4 linked regions of the Arabidopsis thaliana genome follow. The protein of the gene in region 2 interacts with the protein of the main gene of each other region in a pairwise test. Each region holds a gene or a part of one and is shown on either strand. Other genes may lie near its edges. The genes, in order: AT5G50010, LHW, AT2G41130 and YAB3.

Region 1 (4,591 bases), on a different chromosome or scaffold from region 2:
ATATGTGTCTTTATCAAAAAAAAACATCTCATATATGTGTATTTTTTTTAACCACGCAAAATGAGAAGAGTGTTATTTTATGTGTATAAAAATGGTGGACCTAGGATATGATGATTGCTTTAGAGACACACAGAAAGAGAGAAACGGTGGAGGGTTTGTTTTGGGCCCCTGACACCATTAAAGCCAGTAAGGATTAAGTGTATCCACTTTTAATTAATCCTAATTTATATACTATACGGATTAGTAATATTATCCTAATGGTTTTTGTATAACTTAAATATTTGGCGTGGTAATATTAAATGTTACTCTGCTTGTATGATTGTGAGCAACCAGATCTCTCTTATCTGTACATCAAAGATTTGGTTCAGGTTACTAAATCATGGGTCTTCTACATCTATCACTATTGAATATAGTTTCAGATGTCTTTGATTGTCAATGAAAAATATCTTGGGTATAATTATTACTAGTCAGTGCCATTTTCTGACAAGAGAGAACGTGTCTGTTTCTTCTGGGGGATTAATTAGGTTTAGATAATTTTGGTATCAAGTTTTATGATTGATAATATACGATTAAGTCATTGGCTAACTAGCTAAAAAAACTTTTTTTGGCTAACTTGGTAATTTTTGGTGATGCAGGTTGTTCATTTGGGTTTCTGTATAGAAATTATCTCCTTTTTTGTCCTTCGAAACTTATCTTACAGTATCTAATATTGAATTTATATTTTCATAATATAAATTATTGTGGATTGGTCATAAATTATGATCTCAATAATAATGTTCTTATGTTATCATTATTTGTTTGTATTTTTATAAGTCAGTGAGTATGACTTGTACCGTTCCTACTTCTATAGTGAAAACGGAAGTCTTATAATGATAATGAAGCTTGTTTTTTTTTCTTAACACTTTAGTATATATAGAAAAATATACATATTTTGGAAGAGATTATAATAAAGAAAAGATGAAGAGCAATCAATTGTCTTGTAGGATTTTCCTTTCTTCTTGTTATATTTATCGTCACATATTTCATCGTTTTTTCACTATAAGTGCAATAGATACATTTTCCACGAAAGTGTTTTGGAGATCCATATGAAAATAGACCAACCAGAATGGGAAGACAAAACATAATGTGAAACCCAAAGAAGATGGAAATGGAGGGTGCAAAAAGGTAAAAAGTAAAAGTAGAAATGATTTGGGGTTTGAACGGTCAAGCCATTGCAAACGAGAGTATTTGAGAAATGATTGGACCTTCTTCTTCTTCACATTGGATACTTTCACTACTTTTCTTACTGACGATGAACGAAAGTACGAAACCAACAAAATACATAAGCGAGCGTCTTATAAAACATGATTGCATGAAGTAAGTATACTTTGGCTTCAAATGGATTTTTTTTTTTGTATAGCTTCATTGATGATCATTTTTATATTATGTGAATGATATTTGTGTTTCGGTGGAATTGAAAGATACTAGATTCCGTTAGCTGAATTTGTTTACATGTGATGAAAAGTGAAAGTCGACTGATTCTTCTTTCCAACCAAAACAAGCTATTTGGCATAATTTATTTTTCCACCAAATGGGCAAATGTATATCTTTTAGCCAAATATAAATAAGCCGAAAAAGCATGTTAACAACAATATGGATTATGAGTATATCTTACTAATTAGTAATTACATCGAGAAAAATAAACAACTATTTAGATTTTGAACCCACCAAATTCAGCTAATTTTCCCAAAAACATTTGTTATCGGATTTGGTAAACACTGTGGCATCACGATACCTAAACTTTAACGCACGCACGCATCTCTGTTATGATGAAGGTCACTTTCGTCTTTTTCTCTTGTATATATCTTCTTCCTCGCTAACTTCTCTTCGCCATCACTGAAACTAATATCTCTCTGCTTCCTCCTTAGAACTTCTATTTGCTTCTCTTGCATTCCACTTTTGTGAGTTTCTATTATCTTCAGTTTTCGAGATAGAACTTATAAACTCTGTAATAATATGCATTGTGCATATTTTTCTAGGTTAAGTTATTTGTTTTAAAGTGTTCTGTTTCTTGCTAGCACTAAATCTATTGCTCTCGTTTATTTTGCAGATTCATTTGAAGTAGTGAGATTGACTCCAGAGATAAAACAAGAAAGAGCAACAAAGCAACAGCATGCGGTGGTGGTTGTGTCTTTCTGCTTATGTTTTTCGTACAGTAGTAGTCTTCTGTCGTGTGATTCTGTAAACTGCGATCTTACTTCAGACATAGCTTTTTTATGTAATGGGGTCGTCTTTTTTCTTCACATTCCCTTACTTTGTCCGCCAAATTATTTAAGACTTCGTTTGGATACTCTGTTTTGGGAGAAGGAATCAGTTGGGGAGAAAGTAGTTATGGTTTGTCAATCAGCGGGACAGACAAGATTTCGTACACTCAAACACGAACACGGTATCACAGGAAACATTGTAGTTAGAGTCATTGCATGCTTTCAACCTCTCCAAGATTGCCAGGTTATTTTCTTGTTTGATGAGTTTATGTTATTGCAATATATTTAGATTTTTAAACCACCAGAACTTTTTTTTATTGATTTCGTTTTAGCTTTGATGTTGTGTATTTTGCAGGCTGAATATTTCCGTCAATTGTTGAAGCCCGTCACGTAGAGTAGCTCGATACTTATCGTTCTTGTTTCAAGCCTAGTTTCTTCTATCCATTTAGTTGGTAAGTTCCAGTCTTTGCACACATAATCTTTTGACCTCCCATTCTTGATTATAAGTAGCTGATTTGTTTGAGATGATGATGTCCTCTGTTTTGGATAGTTGATTTGTTTAGTGTTGGATGGGACAAGATCGTGGGTTTGGGTTTCCTACTCAGCGCTTGTGTTCCTTGTCTTCCCTAGCTCTGTCTCATCTCGGGAAGCAAGACTTGAATTTAGTATCTAAAACCTGCGGCGACACCACCGACATGTTTTCTACTCGTGGATCTTATCAAGTTTCTACCCAAGTCTCTCAATCCTATTTTGATGGGTATTGTGGATGGGTTCATGGGTCATCCCACCTACAGCAGCAGTTCTTGCCTCCTCAAAACCAATGTATGAAGCAAGTACCTCTTCAAGTAGACGGTGTTATATCTAAAGCTGAGGAACAATGTAGTCAGAAGAGGTTCCTAGTGTTTGATCAGTCTGGAGATCAGACGACTTTGCTACTCGCTTCCGATATACGGAAATCTTTTGAGACCCTAAAACAGCATGCCTGTCCTGATATGAAGGAAGAGCTCCAAAGAAGCAACAAAGATTTGTTTGTTTGTCACGGAATGCAAGGAAATAGCGAACCGGATTTGAAGGAGGATTCGGAAGAACTAAATGCATTGCTTTACTCTGAAGATGAGAGTGGTTATTGCTCTGAAGAAGATGAGGTTACAAGCGCAGACCATTCCCCAAGCATTGTAGTATCAGGCCGTGAGGACCAAAAAACATTTCTTGGAAGCTATGGACAACCATTAAATGCTAAAAAGAGAAAGATACTCGAAACCTCGAATGAGAGTATGCGGGACGCTGAATCGAGCTGTGGTAGTTGTGACAACACAAGGATTAGTTTTCTGAAACGTTCTAAGCTGTCTAGTAACAAGATAGGAGAAGAGAAGATATTTGAGACTGTAAGCCTCTTGCGCAGTGTAGTCCCCGGGGAGGAACTGGTGGACCCGATCTTAGTCATCGATAGAGCCATTGATTACCTTAAATCATTGAAGATGGAAGCGAAAAATCGAGAAGCATGAGGTTCTTTGTTTGTAGGATACCTAAGACATATTAGCATTGGCAAGTGGACTTGGTTTCTAAACAAAGTAGTAGACATATTGGACCGTGGTACTCTTGTCAAGCTACAAAGGGATCAGGTTGTTGCTAGTTGGAAGATAAACCAAATAATGTTTCGGAGTTGCAAGAGAAGGAATTGATATTAAAATGCAAATTGAATATTTCATATTAGTTGATGATTAAGATGGATTGCGAAATTTTAATTTCAGTCGTTTAGCTGTTTGTTATATCATGTAGTTGCTTCTTCTTTTTCTATAAGATTTTGTCGGTGTGGTTGTTATTGTTCATCTGTGAGTCGTGTGGCCGAGAGAATCATAAATGGGAAAGTTGAATAACCATTTTCAATGATAGGCCAATTATAATGGTAAACACACAATTAATTTAACTTTTTTACAAATGATTAAAGATGTTTGTTTTCGTGCCAAACAGACATGTGATTTGGTGGGATATTTGGCAGTCTTTTGTCAATATGGTAGCAATTTTTGCCTATTGTTTCATGATTAAGACTCTTATCACTTGTCATTTCCTGACTTTTGTGCATAGAACTAGTGACATGTGATATACTGTAGTCCCATCCAGTTTATAAGTTTTGAATACATGTCTCTAGCCATTCAGAATAAATCTTGCAGCTAAATGTTTTAGAAACCGGACCAGATACCGGTTCATCCCAATTTCAGCCACATGAACGATTCTTGGTCTGCAGGACCGGACCGGTCCGGTTTTTAAAACATTACAAAAATAATTTTATATGCGTAATAAAAAAATGAAGGAACAAAACTGTAATGTTCGTCTCGGGAGACACAATC
Region 2 (6,172 bases):
GGTCCATCTTCCCGCAGAACTTTCATTATCCTTTTGTAACATACTGGCAGTTACATTTAAAAAAACTGTCAAGATTACTTGAAATCATTCGGTGTGGTGCCTTCTAAAAACCTCCCAATGCTCAAATTATATCTTTATTTTATTTTATTGTGGTCAAAGTATTACGATGTTCTTTTAGTGATTCAGTATAATGTTCATAGTTTTTCTGTTAAAAATATCATAGTAATTATAGATCGTTTTTATGGGGAAAAAAAAACTTAGTACATAGTAAAAGTAGTTAATAATCTATTAAAAAATAATATGGTTTGGACCTTTTTGCACCCACTAAAATATCAGTATATAACTAAGTTAAATCTTTAAATTAGTAATTACGAATTGCTTGATGTTAAATTAAAGTGTTAATGAGTTTTTCAGAATTTAATTTAACATGATAAATAATAAAATAATCTAAATATTAAAGAGTTTATTAGAAAATAGGCATTTGTCTTGGTTATATATTTATTTTAAGGTATTTCCTTACATGATTTTCGAAAGAGGTACTTTTCTCTTGTGAAAAGTCATCCTTATCCTCCTCTCATTTGCATTATCTTTTACCCAATTGAAGCAATAAGTCGTGTCTGTTTCCTATATTCGATATTTGCATCACCAATTGAAGCAATAAATCGTGTGTGTTCCCTATATTCAATTGAAACAATGGCGATATATGCATCATCTTCTAAATCGCCACTCCTGCAAAGACAACAACTCGGATTTTCAAGAATCCAAGTTTTTATATGGAAAATCACTGAGAGAGAGATCATTGTGAGGGATTTAAACCGGTTTCATCATTTCAAGAATGGACTTGTGGTGATTACTGGTAATTTGAAAAAGACAGGTGAGACGATATTCAAAAACCGGTTTCAACTCATTGTTATTTGTGAACCGATTTATTCTTGGTATAGGAAGACTCTGGGTGGGAAAAGATTCCAACTTTGCTTACGAAGGTTAAGTCGCAACAAAGAAAGCTTCTTTATTTCCGCCATGGACACAGCCTATCGTAGTCATGTGGACAGAACTGAAATTCTCTAAAATCAGAACCGAAATTCCACAAAATCAGAACTAAAGTTCCATAAAATCTATAAATTTTTTCGATTGGGTTCCCTATATATTATCTTAGGGTTTAGTATTGTGTAATTAAAAAGAAAAATTAAGTTTGCTTGAAAAACAAAGAAGAAATCGATTTAATCAGATTTTGCAACTATGTTCGATAAAGAAGAAGAAGAAAGAAGACGATGAAGAAGAAGAGAAGGAAAAAAAGACAGGGACAAAATTGTCCCGATTGAAGCAATAAATCGACACTGTTGTATTCAACTGTGGAAAATACCTATTTTGAAATAACTTTATTTAAAATGCCTATTTTAAATATAAGCTCAATATTAAACACCTTGAACTTATGTGTATTTATTATTTGTGTGTACGGGAAGCAATACCAGAAAATGAAAATCTCTTTTATTTATTGACAATCCATAATCCTACAAATCCTCTAACTTCTAGACTTATGCCGTTATTAAATATTTTAATATATATATATACATATATATTTTTAATAATTATATTTAGGAACGTCTTTTAATTTATCTCCGAGGGTACACTTTTTTTCTTTATCTCTTTTGTTTTTATCTAAAAACAAACTTTTAGGATATTACCTCACGAAAAAAACAATAAATTATTCGTCTAGCACCATCGGAAAAAGACAAAAGACTTCGACTACCCCACTCAGTGGCACAATCCTGTAATTTCTACTAAACATTGATACCCTTTCTCGAATTCATCGTGTTCTTTGTTTTTAATAAGATGGTACTTTTTCCTCATTTTTCAATCTTTTTTTCACCAAGAAGCAGAGAAAAGAAACATTAAAGCAGAGAAAAAACAAAGACAAATAATCTCCATTTGCTTTCTTCTCCATCTTCTTCTAATTTTCTTCAAGTTTTATCAATGGCTGGTGTTACTGGAATCTTAAAGCTTGAAGCTTGGAGCATCTTGTGAAGAAGATTAACTAGTTTCTTGTATTTTTCTTTTCTGGGGTTTTGAGTTTTTTTTTCTCTTCCTTATTACCGGAAGTAATGGCATGTCGGAGTATGATCGCTTTTAGTTTAGATCCTGAAAGAAAACAAAGTGGAGGACTTAGGACAAAACAAGCTGGAAGAGGATCTTGCCGTGGAAGTTAGTCTTTGTTCAAATCCATTTTCCTCTTAAAGAATGTAATAATGGGTTTTTATTGATTGTTGTAGATTTGTTAAAAAGTTTTGTTTTTAGACCTAAAGTTTCGATTTTTTTCTTCTGGGCAGTTTGAAATTGCACTGTTGCAAGTGAAAAAGTTTGTTCTTGTTGGAGCTTAAAGAAGAGAGAAGAGAAAGAGAAAAGCTATGGGAGTTTTACTAAGAGAAGCTTTAAGGTCTATGTGTGTTAATAATCAATGGTCTTATGCTGTTTTCTGGAAAATTGGCTGTCAAAATTCTAGGTACCACTCTTATTCTCCTAATTCTAATAAAGTGTCAAACTTTATTCAGTCAAATATATTCAGTGTTTGTTAGTTTAAAGTTTGAGAATTTTTTGATAAGGGTTTAAAACTCAGATCTCGAGGATGACTAGAATTATTTATCTCTGTTTAATTCTTGGAGTTTTGTGTTTGGTTTGATCTTGTTTGTCTTAAAGAATCTTTCGATTTGTAGTTGTTTTGTCGACAATAACTATATCCTTATTATTTGTTTATGAATTGTCTAAAGAGTTCAAGTTCTTTAACTCTCTTGTCATTTCAATTTTTATTTCTTGTCTTTGTTCGTTTTGTCTTTGTTTAGCCCAAAATCTTTTGTAATCGTCTTTTTGTGGTATTCTAACTTAAACGATTGTTGCATATTTTTGTCATGTGTATTCTAATTTTTTTTTTTTGATGTGTTTTTTTTACTTGTTTTTGTGCAGCTTGTTGATTTGGGAGGAATGTTACAATGAAACCGAATCGAGCTCGAATCCTAGAAGACTTTGTGGACTTGGTGTTGATACACAAGGGAATGAGAAAGTTCAGTTGCTTACAAACCGAATGATGTTGAACAATCGAATCATTTTGGTAGGTGAAGGTCTAGTTGGCCGAGCTGCATTTACTGGACATCATCAATGGATTCTAGCTAACAGTTTTAACCGCGATGTTCATCCACCCGAGGTTATTAATGAGATGCTTCTCCAATTCTCTGCTGGTATTCAGGTTTGATACTTTCTTCATGTTTTGAACATCCTAAGTTAGGCTTCTTTAGTGTATATATATGTTCAAGCTCATAAGAACTGTTTGTGTGTGCTTATTTTGTTTGTTCTTCAGACTGTTGCAGTTTTTCCGGTTGTTCCTCACGGTGTTGTTCAGCTCGGTTCCTCTCTGCCTGTAAGTTCAAGTTACATTGTTATGTGAAGTGAGATTCTTGTTCTTGATTTAACTGTGAATTGTTTTTTGTGTGTTCAGATTATGGAGAACTTGGGGTTTGTGAATGACGTGAAGGGTCTTATCCTGCAGCTCGGATGTGTTCCGGGGGCTCTCTTATCTGAAAACTACAGAACATATGAACCTGCTGCTGATTTTATTGGAGTGCCAGTGTCTCGGATAATACCTTCTCAAGGACATAAGATCCTCCAATCTTCGGCTTTCGTAGCTGAAACTAGCAAACAACATTTCAACTCCACTGGATCATCAGATCATCAAATGGTTGAAGAATCTCCCTGTAATCTTGTGGATGAACATGAAGGAGGATGGCAAAGCACAACAGGATTTCTAACAGCTGGAGAAGTTGCAGTACCTTCAAATCCAGATGCGTGGCTGAATCAAAACTTCTCTTGTATGTCTAATGTGGATGCAGCAGAGCAGCAACAAATCCCATGTGAAGACATCAGTTCGAAACGCTCGCTTGGAAGCGACGACTTGTTTGATATGTTGGGTTTGGATGATAAGAACAAAGGTTGTGACAACAGTTGGGGAGTTTCACAGATGAGAACAGAAGTACTCACTAGAGAGTTATCCGACTTTCGGATCATTCAAGAAATGGACCCTGAGTTCGGTTCTTCGGGGTATGAACTTTCAGGAACAGATCATCTGTTAGATGCCGTGGTCTCGGGTGCTTGCTCCTCCACAAAGCAGATCTCAGACGAAACTTCCGAGTCCTGCAAAACCACCTTGACTAAAGTTAGTAATTCTTCGGTTACCACGCCGTCTCACAGTAGCCCTCAAGGTAGCCAGTTATTTGAGAAGAAACATGGGCAACCATTGGGGCCATCATCGGTCTACGGGTCTCAGATAAGTTCTTGGGTTGAACAAGCGCACAGCTTGAAGCGTGAGGGCAGTCCAAGGATGGTGAACAAGAATGAAACTGCAAAACCGGCTAATAACCGGAAAAGGCTTAAACCAGGAGAGAACCCAAGACCAAGGCCTAAAGATCGCCAAATGATCCAAGATCGTGTCAAAGAGCTGCGTGAAATAATACCAAACGGTGCAAAAGTAAGTGAAAAACTTATCTGTTCTTGGCAAATTAAACAATCCCTAAGAAAGGTTATTACTAACAAAGAGTACATGTGGTTTTTATTTAACAGTGTAGCATTGATGCACTCCTTGAACGTACAATCAAGCACATGCTCTTCTTGCAAAATGTCTCCAAGCATTCTGATAAGCTGAAGCAAACCGGGGAATCCAAGGTATAACATAAAACAATAATATTTTGGTGTCTCTCATGGATTCTTGATCTAACGTTTGTTGTATTGTTATAAGATTATGAAAGAGGACGGTGGAGGAGCAACATGGGCTTTCGAAGTAGGGTCAAAGTCTATGGTGTGTCCAATTGTCGTAGAAGATATAAACCCGCCTCGCATTTTCCAAGTCGAGGTAACATTTCTGCCTAAGGTTCTTAATAAAAAACACTCAAGATCTCGGTTTTGATCGAACGTTTTCTGGTTTTGTAACAGATGTTATGCGAGCAACGAGGATTCTTTCTAGAAATCGCAGATTGGATCAGAAGCTTAGGGTTAACGATCTTGAAGGGAGTCATCGAAACTCGAGTAGACAAGATTTGGGCTCGCTTCACTGTTGAGGTATATTATATAAGTTACACAAGGTTGTTTAACTTGGAAAGATGAGATTGTGTTAGAATGTATCTTATTTAAACTGAAACCGGGTCGATATTGGATTGTAGGCGAGTCGCGACGTGACGAGGATGGAAATATTCATGCAACTAGTGAATATTTTGGAGCAGACAATGAAATGTGGAGGAAACTCTAAGACTATTTTGGATGGTATCAAAGCTACAATGCCTTTACCGGTTACTGGTGGCTGTTCAATGTAATGACACAAATTATTGACCGTACCGGATTGCTCCGGTTTAATAAACCGGGCTGGTTAAAAGCTTGATTCATATAGAGGTTACGAGCGGACCGCTCTCAAGGATTTTAGGCTCGCTATGACTAACTAAAAAGTCAGTCTAAACCAGAGATGATGATTTTTAAGTGTGTTTTTTTTTCTCAACTTTATGTTTTGTACATTAGTTGCGAATTTTCATTTGTGTGGAATTTTTTAATTTTAATTCAGTTTTGGAGTTGTAAAAAATTTAGTTAAATTGTTTAAAATTATTCTCGACCAGTAAGAGTTCAAACAATTCACGGATTTCAAGACCGGTAAAAAGAACCGGTCCATCAACAGCTTTAACAGTACACAACAAAGCTTCACATGTTACAAGTACCTTTATGTTACTTTGATTAGTAACTCTATGTATATAATTAGCTTATTATTAAAAAAAAAAACACAAGAAGCTCTACTTTCAATAAAACACACTCTTTATTAAGAAACGTGAGGCCTATAGAAGAAAAGCTAATAATAGTTAGTTATAATACTTTTGTTAACAGCCTTATAATGTGCTATCATGTGAATTCATAATCTCTAATGGATGTCTTAATCCATTCCTAATATTTACATTTTCTTCATACTACTAATTAGTGGATCAAACTTAGTCCAACATCAAATTCTCAAAACTGCGTTTTTGTTTGTTGTCTCAAAAATGCTTTATTTACACTTTTGAGGTACCTAAACTTTGCTGCAAAAGGTGCATGAACATCTTTGTGTCTTGCTTTAGCCATCTCTCCACTCTATAGATTATGATGGGATAATCGA
Region 3 (4,672 bases), 5.5 Mb from region 2:
AGAGTTTGTGAAGGTTATGATGGCTAAGTGAGGATTGAAACAACTTCTTCGGCTTTCTCCTTTTTTTTTTTTGACTACCTTCTTATGTAATTTCATAAAGAATGTTCCTTCGCTTTGTTCTAAAATTTCATTCATGGCTGGTTTTTGCTGGTTAAAAAGACAGGAATGTTATGTGTTTTTACCTTTTGTCTAAATGACTCATTGTTCATGTTATTGACAGGTTCAGAACCTGATTCTTGAAATATAACAGTAATGAGATCTTCTTCTATTATCTTCGTATTGATCATTCTCTTTAGAATCTGTCGTCGTATGTAGAAGCAAGAAGATGCTTATCGGTTGCGGTAAGGGTAGGGAGCTTAACCCGAGTTGGCTCAGACGATGAATGTAAAGGAGAGAAGAGTATAGAAGTTGTCTCAGACATTCCATTGTTGAAGTCAAGCACAGTCTCTAAGCTGTAAATACTCTCTCCAGCTGCATAACCACCTAAGAGTTGATACGATCTGTCTGATTGATCCATCGTCAAACACATATCTTCTGAACCTATCATCAATCAATTCAGATTTCTTGAGTGTCACAATTAGGTTCAATTTGCTAAATGGTTTCCTCAATCAAAAATTCAAAATTCAAAACTTACAGGCAGCAAGTTCAAGCTGAGTTTGATAAACGAATTCAAGAACTGCGGAGACATCTCGCTCGAATTCATGAAACGGTCCGTCTTCGAAATTCATCTTCCTTAGCTTACATACTCCTTCTCCTAACTCCATCATCGCTCCTTTATGGTTCTTCAAATCCCAAAACACTCACTAAAATTACCTCAAACGTGAACGAAAACGAGCAATAGATGGAGTTAAAAGGAGAGTAGATTTACGTTGTTGAATAGATGGTGAAATCCAACAGCACATTGAAGAATTCCATGGATTAAGGTACGAGTTGGTTCCTCTGCTTGAATCCAAAGAGCTTCAAGCGCGTCATGACTTTTGTAATAATCCCTCTTGTTGAAGAGAGTCACTGCTTCCTCAAAGCTCCAATATTCTTCCTTATCCTCGTCACTATCCTCTTCGTCTTCTCCGGCGTGGTCGTTGTATCTGACGATTGATCTTCGACTGAAACGGACGCGTATGGAGCTAAATTTTGTGGAGGCTCGAATCGTTGAAGCAGTAACAGAGATTGGAGAAGAAGGGATTAAGGAGCTGAAGAAAGAAGATGGAGGAAGCGTGAAAGATGAAGGAACCTGGAAATGTTTCGAAGAAACTGCCATTATCAAAGTCAAAGGTCGAGCTCTGTCTCTACTGCATGGTTCTGGCTTGCGCCAGTTTTGTGGTCACCGTTTTACCAAAACTTTGTAATTGGGCCACTATTTGGGTCCTTATTTTTTATATAATTTAGGCCCATATTTTATGGCGAAGCCTTCCTCATATCATATGGTTGTCTCATTCGTAAATTATTTTTCTGCAGTAGCTTTCTCTTATGATTATCAAATTTGTTGATTATTTAGGGCTTTTATGTTGTCAAAAAAAAAAAATTAGGGCTTTTGAATACTCAAGTTTTTCCAGACATTAAGTTAAAACAAATACTGTATATTATTTAATTTTTGTTAAATAACAAATTTATGTTATCGCATTGCACTGTGTGAGATTTATCCGGACAAAACACAATGATAGAAGCAGCATAAATCATATCAGGATATGCCTTTTATTGTTTATCTTTAATACCTTAGAAATGGTATCTTATCATAATAACTTAAAGGATCATTATTATGGTAGTGGTAAAACATCATTATTATTCATAAGTAAAGATTTAAAGAATGTTCAATTTTTTGAGATTTGTTTTTGAATTTTTGAATTTTGGAAATGCAGTAATATACTATATAGTCCCAAAAGTCCGTATGTATCTTCAGTTCAATTGATGGATCATATAGAACTATTTAGAATGATGATGGTGGCAAGACAATGACCTAATTAAGGACCCTTCCTAAAAATTTCAAACTCTATAGCAACTTTTTCCCCACCAATATATATATAAATACAAAAATCAAGTATTTAACATCTAAAATAAAAAAAATAAAAAAAATAATCTACACTCTCTACCCTCTCATTTCACGTATATATAATCCATCTTTTAGGACAGAACCCACCGAAAGCTCCACAAACCCCATTAATTAACAAAAAACCAAAAGAAGGCGGCGCAAACAAAAGATAATGCAACCAGAGACCTCAGATCAGATGTTGTACTCGTTTCTTGCCGGAAACGAAGTCGGCGGTGGAGGGTACTGCGTCTCCGGCGACTACATGACGACTATGCAGAGCTTATGTGGGTCTTCGTCGTCGACGTCATCGTATTACCCACTGGCGATCTCCGGCATCGGAGAAACGATGGCTCAAGACAGAGCTTTAGCTGCTTTGAGGAACCACAAAGAAGCTGAGAGAAGAAGGAGAGAGAGGATCAATTCTCATCTCAACAAGCTTCGTAACGTACTCTCTTGTAATTCTAAGGTAATATAAACTTTTGATACTTTTTCATTTGGCGTATGTATCTCTCCTCGTACATATGATGTTTATACATCTGTACGTATATATTTCTTTGAAATTTTAAGAAAAGATTTTTGAAATGGGTATATAATTAGGGTTTTGCATCTTCTCTAACCCAGAGTTTACATCTTTAAAATTTTCTCATGTTTCATTCGATTTGGTGTTAGCTCATGAATACTGTACTTTTTCATGATAACATTTTATAATCATTTGGTTTCAATTGAGTCTTTTTTGTCTTACTATTCTTACTTATTAACAAGCACATATTTATCAAAGATGATCCCTAATTTTCTACATTTATAATTCTAAAGATTGATATATATTTTGATTTGAATATTCAAAACTGGCGAGTAGTGATCAGATGAGAAAAACGAAAAGCTTCATGGCCTTTTTGTGAAGCTCGTTGGGATAGTATATCACTTTTTGGGAAAGTTCTCAAGCTTTTTCAGTTGATTTGATTTGATACAAACATCAAATTTCAACTTCTTGATCCAAACTTTTCATTGTAATTTCATGTTTCTATTTTCAGACCGATAAAGCCACACTGCTCGCCAAAGTAGTTCAACGAGTCAGAGAACTTAAACAGCAAACCCTAGAGACCTCCGACTCCGACCAAACATTATTACCATCAGAGACCGACGAAATTAGTGTTCTACACTTTGGAGACTATTCAAACGACGGTCATATAATCTTCAAAGCCTCTCTATGTTGTGAAGATAGATCAGATCTCTTGCCGGACCTTATGGAGATTCTCAAGTCTCTTAACATGAAGACTCTCCGAGCTGAGATGGTAACCATTGGTGGTCGGACAAGAAGTGTTCTTGTCGTAGCTGCTGACAAAGAGATGCACGGCGTCGAGTCTGTGCATTTTTTGCAAAATGCTCTCAAGTCGCTGCTTGAGCGGTCAAGCAAGTCGTTGATGGAACGTAGTTCTGGTGGTGGAGGAGGAGAACGGTCAAAGCGGCGTCGTGCGCTGGATCACATCATAATGGTGTGAAATGATGAGAATTGAGCACACTAAAAAGTCTATAATTGATTAATATATATAGGGTATGATCATAATTAACTTGGTTATAATTACCAAAACCTTTTTTATTCCTCTTTAATAATATATATGTTATATGGTTTTAGTTACTAAGTCTTGGGAGTGTAAGCAAATGTTGTAAGTAGGTTTGGTGTGTTCTTTTTCTTTTCTTTTTTTTTTCTTTTTCAAGAAAAAGAAAAAGATCTATATTATATATAAAGAATATTTGTCATGTTATTTTCCTCTATTTATATATATCTTTTTGGTTGTTGGTGTGATGACTAGGGTTTTGAGATTGTGGGAATATTTGTCGACGTAGAAGAATCTAAGTAACAGATGTGATTGGTGAAGTCCAAAAGAAACTAGGGTACTTCGATTTACATATACACACTATACATGTGAATATATATGTATATATAGTGAAGAGAAGGTCTATGTTTGTATGCTGTGAGTTTCAAAGCGACCCTTATGTCACCTTTGTCCCCAAATGAATCCAAACTCTCCTATCTCTTTCTTTGTTCATGTCTTTCTAAATGTGTACATTTGACCACATTTTTCAGACCAAAGAATATAAGCAGTGCCTGGTTTTCTTTCTTTCTTATATATTCGTATATATCCATGTGATTATGACGAACTGTTTTACTTTTAGTTGAGATTAATTAAGTGTTAGCGAAATGTCTAGTCTACTGTTTTTGTTGATCATATGGAAAAGACGTGCATTTATGCATGACACAAAAATGCTTAAACGTATATTCGAAAAAGTAACACTTTATATACGTTGTATATTTAGGACGCCAAATTTCATATTATGTACGGCTACATGTACAATGAAAGTGTGATGAGACTTGAGAGGATTAACCAAAAATACTGAAAACTTACTTTAATTTACTTTCTTTTAGTTTATTTTACTAATCGAATTTTGGCTCTAAAGTTTCGTGTGAATAAGAAGAATATGTTAGAATGTATAATGATGTGTATCCGTATCTAGTGAGGTTTGTACATATCTGTTATATTTATAATGAAAGTGTTTTGAAATATTGTAGAGATACTATGTTTGCTATGTATCTCTATTCTGGTTTCTTCAATAGGTATCCGTTTTGTTTATAGAAAATGGCTCACC
Region 4 (5,531 bases), on a different chromosome or scaffold from region 2:
TCTCCACCTATTGCCAATTAGTTTTACGTTGGAAGCCCACAGTCTGATATGGTATCAGACCCCGATCCGCACATACTCAACCCGATCCACATCGGTCCGGCCCAATACTTGGCCCGCCGATCCATGCCCAAACATATCGAGATCAATGGCTAGAAGAACCATCATCTCGAGGGGGCGTATTAGGGATAATATCCCACATCGGAAGTTGAATAAGATCTTAAGTGGTATATATAAGATATGGGCCTCTTCACCTATTGCCAATTGGTTTTAGGTTGGAAACCCACACTCTAATATGGTATCAGAGCCTGATCCGCACATACTCAACCCGATCCACATCGGTCCGGCCCAATACTTGGCCCGCCGATCCATGCCCAAACATATCGAGATCAATGGCTAGAAGAACCATCATCTCGAGGGGGCGTATTAGGGACAATGTCCCACATCGAAAGTTGAGTAGGATCTTAAGTGATATATATAAGATATGAGCCTTTCCATCTATTGCCAATTGGTTTTATGTTGGAAGCCCACACTCTAATAAACTCAATACAAATACTAAAGTTGCAAACAACTATACTATATTTGCTTGAAGTTCTATTGTGATAGGATTTTGACTTACAAAAATCATATTCTATGTCTACACTATATATTGTGAAACCGGATAGCCATAATATTTACAAAAACTTAAACTAATTTCAGATATAAATAAATTTAAATTTCACTATGACCTAGTAATTATCACGAACAATTGGGAAGTTACCACAAAATGGTGGTCCTGTATTATGGAATTTAGCGAAACCACACACTTGCGGGTAAAAATAATGATGACAAAATGATATACATTGGAATGTAGAGAAAGTATATACAAATACTAATAAATAGAAAAGGGCATGGAATTGACGAGGATCGAGGGAAAGTGTGGTGTGGCAGAAATGTTATTAAGTGTGAAAACAACTGATGAATGAGCCTTTGCTTAATCACTTCCATGCACAAGTCCCTTTCCTCTTCCTCTCTCTCCCACTTCATCGAACTTTGCGTCCTTTAAAGAAAAGAAAAAACAAAACATTTTTCATCCAATTGAATTCAAACCGTAACCAGATTAGATTTAACTTCGTTTATTTTACATTATCTTCTTCTTCTTATTTTGCGGAGAAGACTTGTACAATGACCTCAATACGCTGAAGAGTTGGATTCACTGCGAGTGTATATGTGCATATAGAAACAAAATATCTAGCTATATGACCACTTTTAACTCTAAATATGGGTGTAATATGCCAAGGACTTTCTGGAGATCCACCACAACACACATTCAAGTTCAAGTTCTGCTGCTTTTAGGTCTATGAAAACAACACCAACCTTATTTTCATATTGTTCTCTCTTTATCTCATGCATAAGTATATTTTCATATTGTTCCCTCTTTATTTTCATGCTTTTAGTTGATATTTTTTTTGTTATTGTATTATCATTAGTGCGACGACACAAAGTCACAAACCATGTAACAAAATGCTTAACCAAAATAGAAAACCTTAACAATTCCAATATATTTTCTGTTATTGCATTATCAATTATCATCAAATTTTTTTCCACTGTTGCATTATCATCATTGCGACGACACAAGGTCACAAACCATGTAACAAAATGCATAACCAAAATAGAAAACCTTAACAATTCCAACTTTAACATGTGAATTAATATTATCTTAATTTTTGGATGTTCGACATTCAAATAAACTCCTAATTAAACCCTATAGATATGGTTAATCTTCTATACATGTGTCACGTACGACACTTATTAGCCAAATTGAAGTTTTGTTTTTTCCGCAAATATATAAGCGGTTTAAATAGTTGGTAAAAAAAAAAAAAAGTTAGCATGTTTGTCGTATGTACATGTTTGATGCTGCACAAATCTTGTCGTTATAAAACTTTGAAATCTTTATATCTATTATTCCTCACCGATCGGCTACTAATTCAATGGTACTTGATAATGATAATTAGTCCCAAAGTAGAGTTTTTATCTGATTATATAGAAACAAAGACTAGTTCCGGTTTGATATATAGAAGAAAGAAAAAGGATGGATAGGAATAATAAAGAAGATAAACCGGTTCAAAAGGTAGTAAATGAGAATGCAGGTATGCAGCTTATCTCTACAATGGCCTCTTCATCACATGTCGCCAATTTGTTTAGGTACAGTGTCTCTTCATATTTACATAAATAGATATCTCTCTCTCTCTCTCTCTCTAAACCACATCTTCCTCTCCACCGTTCTTTCTCTTCCTTCTCTCTCTGGACTTCAACTTCTGGAGAAGTACAAGACATTTATAAAGTACTGCTCATCACCCAACACTAAACACAATTGTCAAAAGGGTGTGGTGGAAGGAGAATCTACTTCTATCTGAACATCGATCAGTCATATCTTTTCAATCAAATCAAAGCCCTCCTCTCTCTCTTACTCCTTTTTTGTTTTAAATCAAGAAAAAGACTCCATGTCGAGCATGTCCATGTCGTCCTCCTCAGCTCCAGCTTTTCCACCGGACCACTTCTCATCTACGGACCAGCTCTGTTACGTCCATTGCAGCTTCTGCGACACTGTCCTTGCTGTAAATTTTGGATTATTCTTATATCTCATCTCAATATTTCAAATTTATAACTCTAGCTAGGGTTTCACATGAATTACTAGTTAATTAATGTGTGATATTAATTGGCAGGTGAGTGTTCCTCCGAGTAGTTTGTTCAAGACGGTGACGGTCAGATGCGGCCACTGTTCGAACCTTTTGTCGGTGACCGTGAGCATGAGAGCTCTTCTTCTTCCATCCGTTTCCAACCTTGGCCATTCCTTTTTACCTCCCCCTCCTCCTCCTCCTCCTCCAAATCTTTTGGTACATCGGTTTCATTCATCGAAACAAATTAGGGTTCTTTCATAAAAAAAACAGAGAGTAATAATTAGGGCTTTTCTTCTCGAGAAACGCAAAATTGTGAAACTCAATCCAAAAATGTTTAATTTTGTTAGCATCCCGGGATAGATCTAAGTAGTTTGGCAATGGCTAGTTAACTAGGGTTTCTTTCGAAAACATCATATCAAAGTAGTTTGGTTTGATTAGTGTTTTAAGTTTTTTTTGCCAATTAGTTTGCTGATTTCATTTATTAGGAGGAAATGCGAAGCGGAGGGCAGAATATAAACATGAACATGATGATGAGCCATCACGCTTCAGCTCACCACCCGAACGAGCATTTGGTTATGGCGACTCGCAACGGAAGATCAGTGGATCATCTACAAGAGATGCCTCGGCCACCACCAGCCAATAGACGTAACCTTCCATCTTCTACTCTTTATTTCAACATCTTCATATATATATATATAAGAAAACAAAAACCCTAATTCACAAAACCTTATCCATTCATTTCTTCAACCTTTTATATATACACTCCAAAGAATCTCGTTTGTTTATAATGAATTTATAAGTTTTGATTTCATTTTTGTTCCCTCGGTATGTGACTTCTCGCATGCACTTTTTTTTTGGTCAGAAAACAATTTCGACAACAAAAGGAAAATTAATAAGTGATGTGTTTATCCCCCGGAAATCTAGCTAAACCTATAGATGCCAACTGATATAGTTTTGGGGGTAGATCGTAAGAAAGATAATGATGAAGTGATGATGATAACGAGCAAAGTGAGAGGGAGAGGGAGAGAGAGAAAGGAGGAAGAGTCGAAGAGTGATTGTTTTTTTTTTTTTAATTGTTTTTTTTTGGTGAATTTTTAGATTTTTTGGGGAGGCACAATAAAAACCAATAATGTTTTTTTTAACAAAAGGGTTTGATTTGGAATTAAAATTGAATATGTTCTGTTTGTTTGTTTGTGGAAAAGCAGCCCCAGAGAAGCGACAAAGAGTACCATCTGCATACAACCGATTCATCAAGTAATAAGTTTATTCCTTTGCTTAAAATGGCATAATTAAATTTCCCTAATTAACCATTTTACTCATATAATTAAGGGTCGATAGATGTGACAGATTTGATTTCATTATATGATATAAAAATAAAAATGTTGACAGAGAGGAGATCCAACGTATAAAGGCAGGCAACCCTGATATCAGCCACAGAGAAGCCTTCAGTGCTGCTGCCAAAAACGTACCATTTCTTTTTTTAATATATAAAACTAATTTTCTATATTGCATTATATCCATAATCATACAATCTCATTTTAGTCTTTATGAATTGAACCTAGCTAGATTATTGTGGAGCTACATTGATACTCACATTGCTTTAAATTAAAAACATAAAACAAAATAGTTACCGTAATAATCCATAATTCATAAGCTTTATCCAGCATACATTAGCTAGGACTAGCCTTAGGATCTACGATCTAGGGTTTCAGTAAAGTTCCCTAGCAGATATTTTAGTCTGGCTTTGTATTCGTATATTTTTGACCAAGTTTTTATGTTATGTATAAGATAAATACACATTAATGTTAAAAGAGCTAAGTATATGATGTAATATGTATGAAACAGTGGGCTCATTTCCCTCACATACACTTTGGACTCATGGCTGACCATCCTCCCACGAAGAAGGCTAACGTGCGCCAACAGGTTACTTACTACTACTACACTATATTTATTTATTCAAATGTATATAATCAGGAGCATGCATGCATTGATCATCAAAACATAATCGAGATATTTTATTTTGGTGTAATGAAGGAAGGAGAGGATGGGATGATGGGAAGAGAAGGGTTTTACGGTTCAGCTGCCAACGTTGGGGTGGCCCATAACTAGCTACGAAGACTTTCCCAATCTTTTGTAATCTTCAAAATGTGGTTACTTTCAGCTCAAACTTAACTTTCTTATTACTATTTTATGATATTTGATAATCGATCAGGAGACCTTTTTTTTTTTTCTTAAAGAAATTTTCGGAACTACTAGAATTTTCTCTTGGAATTGAAAATATATTGTTTTCTCAGTTGCCGTGTTATATATTTAATATCAAAAGCATGCAGTAGCTAAGCTAGCTAGGCTTTACCATACGTTAATGATACTGTCTTTTTCTCTTTACAATTCCATATTCGAATTTGATTTGTATATAACATATTGGGAAGAATCATCAATATGTATTCAGCTCAAAAGAATTCAACAAAAAAAAATGCCTATTATCAATAAAAATTCACTGGGCTTTAGAAGGCCCACAATAGTATAATGGATCCTTTTTGTTGGGCTTATTTCAGTCAGGGAACAATAGCCTTGATTTTGTTGGGCTAACCGCTAACGCATTAAAAAAATCACGGTCAATCGGTGATCGTCAAATCTAGTTACGTGGCATTTAATATTTAAAACTACAAAATTTACCAGTCTTGGCTCAAAAAAATATTTATTCACTTTTCTTCTTCTCTGACCAAAATCAAAATTTGTTCGATTCTCATTCTTCTTCTCACAGTCGTAAACCCTAAAAAAAAAACAGAGAAATCAAATTTCAATCTCGAAGGATCTACAAAGAAGCATGACGACCGGAGATCTCGTTAATATCCATCCTACTGAGCTTAAATT

The links.
Region 1: the proteins of LHW (region 2) and AT5G50010 interact in a two-hybrid assay, tested with the Arabidopsis thaliana proteins (one large-scale study listed by BioGRID).
Region 3: the proteins of LHW (region 2) and AT2G41130 interact in a two-hybrid assay, tested with the Arabidopsis thaliana proteins (one large-scale study listed by BioGRID).
Region 4: the proteins of LHW (region 2) and YAB3 interact in a two-hybrid assay, tested with the Arabidopsis thaliana proteins (one large-scale study listed by BioGRID).

The regions. Positions count from the first base shown.
Region 1 is NC_003076.8:20,346,744-20,351,334, forward strand, and holds AT5G50010 (transcription factor bHLH145), read left to right. Parts: upstream 1-1,871; 5' UTR 1,872-1,940; intron 1,941-2,089; 5' UTR 2,090-2,487; intron 2,488-2,598; 5' UTR 2,599-2,695; intron 2,696-2,793; 5' UTR 2,794-2,812; coding exon 2,813-3,748; 3' UTR 3,749-4,087; downstream 4,088-4,591. Other genes in the region: AT5G50020 (DHHC-type zinc finger family protein), read left to right, coding at 4,467-4,498.
Region 2 is NC_003071.7:11,648,490-11,654,661, forward strand, and holds LHW (transcription factor-like protein), read left to right. Parts: upstream 1-1,869; 5' UTR 1,870-2,240; intron 2,241-2,327; 5' UTR 2,328-2,405; coding exon 2,406-2,500; intron 2,501-2,958; coding exon 2,959-3,238; intron 3,239-3,349; coding exon 3,350-3,409; intron 3,410-3,487; coding exon 3,488-4,513; intron 4,514-4,605; coding exon 4,606-4,707; intron 4,708-4,780; coding exon 4,781-4,894; intron 4,895-4,974; coding exon 4,975-5,100; intron 5,101-5,201; coding exon 5,202-5,351; 3' UTR 5,352-5,654; downstream 5,655-6,172. Other genes in the region: AT2G27229 (Pentatricopeptide repeat (PPR) superfamily protein), read left to right, coding at 694-1,068. UniProt on the Arabidopsis thaliana protein: Transcription activator that regulates root development; promotes the production of stele cells in roots. Coordinately controls the number of all vascular cell types by regulating the size of the pool of cells from which they arise.
Region 3 is NC_003071.7:17,141,162-17,145,833, forward strand, and holds AT2G41130 (basic helix-loop-helix (bHLH) DNA-binding superfamily protein), read left to right. Parts: upstream 1-1,995; 5' UTR 1,996-2,198; coding exon 2,199-2,492; intron 2,493-3,057; coding exon 3,058-3,525; 3' UTR 3,526-4,122; downstream 4,123-4,672. Other genes in the region: CAM2 (calmodulin 2), read left to right, coding at 1-31; AT2G41120 (DUF309 domain protein), read right to left, coding at 293-540, 635-782, 869-1,258.
Region 4 is NC_003075.7:72,039-77,569, reverse strand, and holds YAB3 (Plant-specific transcription factor YABBY family protein), read left to right. Parts: upstream 1-1,993; 5' UTR 1,994-2,480; coding exon 2,481-2,594; exon of another isoform or gene 2,595-2,681; coding exon of another isoform or gene 2,682-2,702; coding exon 2,703-2,873; intron 2,874-3,142; coding exon 3,143-3,302; intron 3,303-3,862; coding exon 3,863-3,911; intron 3,912-4,046; coding exon 4,047-4,122; intron 4,123-4,502; coding exon 4,503-4,580; intron 4,581-4,691; coding exon 4,692-4,766; 3' UTR 4,767-5,025; downstream 5,026-5,531. Other genes in the region: AT4G00170 (Plant VAMP (vesicle-associated membrane protein) family protein), read left to right, coding at 5,485-5,531. UniProt on the Arabidopsis thaliana protein: Involved in the abaxial cell fate determination during embryogenesis and organogenesis. Regulates the initiation of embryonic shoot apical meristem (SAM) development.